2 linked regions of the Ovis aries genome follow. The protein of the gene in region 2 purifies or fractionates together with the protein of the main gene of each other region. This does not show direct contact. Links are inferred from orthologs where the notes say so. Each region holds a gene or a part of one and is shown on either strand. Other genes may lie near its edges.

Region 1 (3,545 bases), on a different chromosome or scaffold from region 2:
ATTTTTAATATATTTATATATAATTATTTGCACATCAGATTTAGAAGGAATCTGCAGATTTACTTTGATAGACTGATCTCATTCAAGTGGGAAGGCTTAGGGGGCTTCTGCAGCACTGTCACTCGCAGGGGGGGTGTCACGATCAGGCTCAGAGGAGGCAGCGGCGGGCGTTTCCATCACAGCAGGTGGGAAGTGGCGGCGGCACACGGGGCAGGTCCCGGACTGGAGAGAGAAAAATGGAGGGAGAGAAAAAGCAAGTTCGCAGCCAACAAACGGAAAGGTCTGAACTGCTATGAAGTATCAGAACAGGAGCATTATCCTAAAAAAGTCAAATAATGTAAAAACAAATGAACGCCAATCCACGAATACAGAGAAGCAGAATTCTGAGGCACTCTCCCCTCATCCCAGTCAGACTCTCGACTTCCCTGAGGGGACCAATGTCTCCCCATCAGTTCTGTGTGTTACAGGTCACTCATCTACTCACTGGGCATCTACTCTCCTCTCCACTTAGCACTGGCGCCACAGGGGTGAGCTGGAGTCGCAGGGCACGTCCTCCTCTAAAGTGAATTATTATGCATCTATGATGTATGTATTAAGAGAAACCAGGGACCTACTTAATTCACGTATTTATTACATCAAATCAGCCCCCTAGGATCTTCCACATATATAGTAAAACCTCACTCTAGTGTGGTACAGATACGTCAGAGCAGATGGACTGCAGCCCTTCTTTATAAGCCATATACTTCCTTTTCAGAAAGTTAAGAAGAGTTAGGTGCCTTCTGAATAATAAAACAAATCAATGAGGGAAGGTGGACCAGGGAAAGCAGCTAGACTGGGAGTGCATGGTTTTAGGACCAACGGCAGATTACAGAGATTGCCACCTGGCAATAGATAATCCCCTCACAAATCTTCTTTTTCCCAGAGATCTCCCCGATAGAAAATAGGTTGAAGAAATCATGCTTTTGAAGGTGACAAAGATATGAATCTTGGGAACCTTCTCCCCAGAGGAAAGGCTTCACACTATGCTGCTTCCTGACAGGAAAGAGAATAAAGAAACTACGACCTTGGGTTAAGGCAAAATCATTCACAATTCAAGACTGTACAACATAAGTAATATGTACAACTCAAGAACTTAATTCAGCAAACAGGCACCGTGCACCTGCCACGGAGATGGAGCCGAAGAGCAACACCTGAGAGCCACACAGAGGAGCCCAGTCTCCGCCGAGCACTCCAGCCGCGGAGCCTTGCGGGAGTGACAGCTACCCAGAGACGTGAGTGAGGACACCAACGTGTCCCCGAGCTGCCAGGATGGAGCGGGGAAGCGCGCGTGCGCCACCCAGGAGGGACACGCAGCAGCAGAGACCACACGAGGCCCTCCTTGCGGCTCTGACACCATTGCGGGCGTTTAACGGAAGGGATGCCGAGAACAGAAAAGGCGAACGCAAGCCGGACCTCCCCAGAACCTCTCTGTTTACAGCGAGGAGATGCTCGCACCAGGCTAGGCATGAGTAAAGGTACTGAGGAGTAAATCTGAAGGACAGACCAGGTCCCAGAAGGCCTGGAAAGCCTAGGCAGAAACTTTGGGTATTAGAAAGGAATAATGAACACTTCTGCACTGGATTTGAGAGATAGTAACTCGAATTTTGACAGAGATGAAGCGGCAGTAGAAGGGGACCAAGACCAAAGCAAAAGAAGGGAAAGAAAAGGGAGGACGGAGAGGGTGGATGTGAGAGAGAGAGGCGACCAAAGGAAGCAGTCACGGAGGAGACGGAGCGCCGTATCCGGAAGTAACCAAGCTGGGAAAGCTTCCACTGAACTGCATGTAAATATCCTTTATGGGAGAACAGAGTTCACTGAGATTTAAAGAATACTTTTTTAAGTAATTCAAATATACTTAAAAATTATTGGGTGAACATTAAAACACAGTATATAAAAATCGCACCAGAGGTACTTGGTAGGTTATTAAATATTTATCAAACACATTTTCACTTTACATTTTAAATATTTTATTGAAGCACAGTTGATGTAGAATGTTAATTTCTACTATACGGCGAATCCGTGTGTTCTTTCCCATATTACTTTCCATTACGGTTCCTAACAGGATATTAACTACAGCTGCCTATGCGACACAGGAAGACCTTGTTTATCCTCATTTTTAGAGATACCGTCTCATGTTAGCAGAATATCTGTACAATGTTACAGTACTCTGAGTAGTCCCAAAGACTTCCCAGCTTAAGATATTTTTGAAAACATCCGATTTCAGAAATACAATCAAAGATCTAACTAGTTTTATCCTAACATCATTTTCTCTCATTGTTTTTTAGAAAATGTTAGTAAGTTAAAGGGATTCCCTGACGGTTCAGACAGTAAAGAATCTGCCTGCAGTGCAGGAGAACCAGGTTCAATCCCTGGGTAAGAAGATCCCCTGGAGAAGGAAATGGCAACCCACTCCAGTGTTCTTGCCTGGGAAATCCTATGGATAGAGGAGCCTGGCAGGCTACAGTCCATGAGGTCACAGAGAGATGAATACGACTGAGCGACTCACTCTTTAGTAAGGTAAAATAGCTTGATATTACCGTTAATCTGTAATCTTTAAAAGGTAACCAATTTGAAACACTAAATTAAAAAATATTTTGAGTACACAGCTAACGGGCTTAAAAAACACTAACTTAACTTCATTAACTTGTAGAAGAAATTATTAAAATATTAATTCTAAACAAGTAAACCTGCAGCTCACCTTTTGCAGCCAAATCGAGACACAAGGTTTGTGAAAGAAGTGGTGGCAGGGCAGCTCCGTCGCTATGTCGTCCTTAATATACTCACTGCAGCAGATTGGGCAGCACTGCTCCTGACCGATAGCTGAAAACAGATGATGCGACTCATCAATCCCACCAAGTTCCGTTTTAATAAAGTTGAAATCCAACACACTAATTCATAAATGCTAACTACAGAAGATGAAAGAACCAGGATTTGATCAATTAATTGGCAATGCATTTCTGCTTAATGCATGACAATTCAGAACTTAACAAACACTGCTTTTGTAGAAAGGCTGACTGGAGAGCATCTGCCCAACCTGCTACCTGATGAACTTGAACATCCCATTAGGTAAGTTCGTCGGAGCTGAGTTTCACAGAGAATCTAATGAAAATGTCTGACAGTACTCTTGTCTTCTATGTGCCCTGGCTGACATACTTGAATACGCAACGTGCCATCTGACACGTTTATTCGAGATAAACTTTGCTCTTACCAGTGTGATCTTCAAGCACAAGGGTCTCTGGAAGACCATCAATGCTCTCCTTACTGGCTGGTGGATTGGCCACTTCCACATCCACTGCGAGAGACTCTAAGTGTGCCAGGGCAGTCTGAAAATGGACAGTCACAACACTCTGTTAGATACACTTTTTAAGCAGCAATGAAAGCCATGTTTAAAGGTGTCATCTAAACTCACATCCAACATCACCCCTCTTCCTGTTGGTTTCTTTTGCTTTGGTTCCATACTGAACCAAAAATATCATAAACATGGGGAAAACAAACAAACAAACCTA
Region 2 (3,652 bases):
GCGTGTGTGTGTAAAATCTTTTTAGAGTTATAAATTCCCAAAAGTAAATTTTTCTATTTATAGTCTAAACTGTAAATAGAACTTCCTGGGAGTTCCCTGGCAGTCCAGTGGTTAAAACACGCTTCCAATGCAGGGGCTTAGAGTTCGATCCCTGACTGGGGAGCTAAGATTCCCCACAGGCTGCATGACAGGGCCAAAAAAACAAGAAACAAACTTGTTGCTGTTAATTTTAGGGGGAAATTCTCCAGTGTTAAACAAGTAAAATTCAACTTTGATTTAGTGTCATCTTCCATAACTTGTCACTTGTGCCTGCTATTCTAAGGCAGTCAGCAAAAGTGTGGTATGAAGATACCTCACATACTTAGGTTTGGGTGGTTTTTTTCCCTTGCATTTTTGAAATATATATATGGATAGAAGCTTGTATTTGTGAATTTGTGTATTGGAGATGTTCATGGCATTGTCTAAATTTTTCTGCTATTTATTTTCCTCTTACTGATAAAGACTGATTGAGACATATATATATTACAGGTGTCCCATTTCCTAAAAACTTTATGTCTGTGGCAAAGACCATTCTAAAGCGTCTGTTCAGGGTTTATGCCCATATTTATCACCAGCACTTTGATTCTGTAATGCAGCTGCAGGAGGAAGCCCACCTCAACACCTCCTTTAAGCACTTTATTTTCTTCGTTCAGGTAAGTTGAATTTGGTGTGTCCTTTGACATGGACGTATTTGAATCGGTAATTAATAAAGAGTATTTATAATGTCTTATTTATAGATATAGAGGTAAGCATGCAGAGTTCTTCTGTTTTATTCCCTTTTTCTTGTTTAGTTCTTTGATGTACATAACAGAATAGAAGGCCTCACCCCCATTTGGGGCCTTTTGCCTCTGGAGAGACCTGCCCTCTGATTGGAATATGGCATGAAGCACCAAACACCCAGGGAAGCTTATCAACACCCTCATGTCCCATTGCCACCGCTGAATAAAGGGATGCCATGGGGAAAACATCTAGGGTTGTGTCATTTCATGAGATGTCTATGCCTGGAGGAGAAACTTTTGGAAAAACTCGTTAGCTACTACTATCTTGAGTTAAGTTTCCAGAAGTCTACTTCAGGCCGAATCTTACAAAATTGGCAGCTAGAAACGTCACAAAGAACTACCTCCTTCAGAGGTGTGGCCTATTTCCTTATGGGCCCTTAGTTGAAATTAGAACTTTTTAAAGTAAAAATAATTCACATTGTTTGAAAAAAATGATCAAAGAATAGGGACTCCTTAGCCTAACTTTAGAAATATCTCTCTATAGCTATTTTGATGGGAAAATCAGTAGCTTTTAGAGTAGATACTATATATCCAGTTCTGTGTACCACACATAGGAGGATGTACTGTGGTTTCTTTTTTGTCTTTCTTAGAGATTTTTGCCTGTCATAGATAGTATGTAGATGTAGGTATGGAGGCCACTGTCAAGTCCCTTGTATTTTAAAATAGGGAGTAAAAATGATCCTCTTTTAAAATATTCATAGAGATTATTTCATCATTCTTTTGGATTTCAGAAAGCTAGAGTTGGGAATCCTTTCTCTGAGTGACAGAGTTTTAATTTTAGATCTACTTTCTAATTTTATTTTTCTTCTTTTTTTAGGAGTTTAATCTGATTGATAGGCGTGAGTTGGCACCTCTTCAGGAATTAATTGAGAAGCTTGGATCAAAAGACAGATAAATTTTTCTTCTGGAACAGTACCTTCTTGCTTCATCTACTGCTAGAGCTATCTCATTGCTTTCTGTTATAGACTAGTGATACAGACTTTAAGGCAGGATAAAAAGACACCAATTGTCTGTCTACTGATAAAATTGTCCCAAAGGTAGGTTGGCCTAATACCTTCAGAGAGAAATTCAGGACATGGCTGAATTCGAGGCACTGTATGATCACTGCTGTTACTACCGCAGAGTCATTTTTGGTTGTAGTATATGAGGACTAACTTGTAGTTTATTAGTTTAGTTATTCATTTACTGAAGAAGATGACTGAAGTCTGATTCAGGTAACAGCATGATGGATATAAAATATTTCTACCAATTTGTTAACAAGCTTCAGAACAAATTTCCTAATAATGCAATCAGATCAGTTTTATTCTGCTTTTATTTTACAAATAGAAGAGGCATTTTGAAATTTTCTTTAGATTAAAAACATTTGTGTTACTTTGGATAACCTTTTAGTTTGAAGTTTGTATGCTCTTTTTTTAATAGGTTATATACATGTATTTTTTTTCAAAATCCACGATTACAGTTTAAATCGTCGTAAGACATGGTATGGGAGCAACCAGAGTTATTTCTAAAATGACTTTATTTTTTAATGTTTATTTGGGATTTTATTCACAGCCTATCTAGATTTTTAGTGTGTATCAAAGAATTTTTTTAAGGCATCTAAGAATTAATTTTCTTGCAGATTTTTATTTTGAAAAGCTTCATTCAGATTAATTTTAATATGTAGGTTTTGGCTGAGAAAAGGGAGACTTCCAAAAAAATTATAACAAATTTTGGTCTCAAAAACCATTATTTTCATTCATGTTTTTGGTTTTGGAGGCCTTGAAATTTGGATAGGAGAAGAGAAGAAAGTACTCGAGTACTTGATTATTTTGTTTTGAGTTTTCCATAAATAGAAACTACTTCTGTGTATTTTTATTGTGTCTTGAAACTTAGTTAAGAGTAGTGTAGAAATGCATGAACTTTATCCCAATAAGGTTAAAACATAAGGAAAACCGTAATTAAAAACCTTAAAGGTATGCACATTTTATAACCCAGCTCAAAGTTTGGTGTGCTACATGTTCTTTCATGTGTGTGTGTGTGTGTGTGTGTGTGTGTGTGTGTGTCGGGGGTAGGGGGGTATATGTTTAAAGGACACGAAAATGGGATAAGTAAAAAAAACTTCATTCTGTTAATAGTCAAAGGATGGATTGGCATTTAATTTGTTTTAATTGTTTTTGTATCAAAACTTGAAATTATTCTGTTGGGGTAAAAAGAATCTCCTTAGTGAAGAAAAGATCTAAGTTTCGTTAGATTTTTCAGATCGAGACTGAAGTGTATTGAGGCACACATATTACTAAAGACTTGCCAGACTGGCAACACTTGAAGTTCATCAACATTTGTTTCAGAGCTATGATTTTTGCAAAGTACTCACCATGTTCCTTGATACCTTTGGTTAAGGTTAAATTTTGAAGGTTTTTTTTGTTATTTATTTTTATTATTCTACTAGATTGTAAAGAAAAAATGACTTGGAAACTCCATTTTTGTAATAACTCAATTTCAATAAATTCTTAAATATATATAGAATTTTAAAGGAAACAAAACATTTTATCTAATTTAGGCTGAAACCATACATCATTGTTTTGGGAAATAGTGGGAAAATCTCTTATTAAAAAAAGTCCTCCAAGAAACATTCCATAATCCTCATTTTAAGATTATCCGAAAGAATCATCAGGCATTCTGTATGTTTATGTTGATCATTTCCAAACAAGAAGATTTTTAGAATGTTAGGATGTTACTGCCTCTTGACTTTTAACATTGTTGGCTTTAATTAAGTCTGCTAGGAATGAAATATTTCTCAAGTAAGATTATATTTTTATCATTTCTAATATTTCAAGTATCATCAAATAAAAGTGTTC

What was found. Proteins that work in one complex are often made in the same cells at the same time.
Region 1: the proteins of MOB1A (region 2) and PJA2 purify together in Homo sapiens (affinity purification with western blotting; 3 studies listed by BioGRID). This does not show direct contact. The link is inferred for Ovis aries from reciprocal best matches to the Homo sapiens genes MOB1A and PJA2.

What each region holds. Positions count from the first base shown.
Region 1 is NC_056058.1:105,931,549-105,935,093, forward strand, and holds part of PJA2 (E3 ubiquitin-protein ligase Praja-2), read right to left. Parts: intron 3,363-3,545; coding exon 3,248-3,362; intron 2,860-3,247; coding exon 2,738-2,859; intron 223-2,737; coding exon 97-222; 3' UTR 1-96.
Region 2 is NC_056056.1:95,981,646-95,985,297, reverse strand, and holds part of MOB1A (MOB kinase activator 1A), read left to right. Parts: intron 1-528; coding exon 529-692; intron 693-1,635; coding exon 1,636-1,713; 3' UTR 1,714-3,652. UniProt on the Homo sapiens protein: Activator of LATS1/2 in the Hippo signaling pathway which plays a pivotal role in organ size control and tumor suppression by restricting proliferation and promoting apoptosis.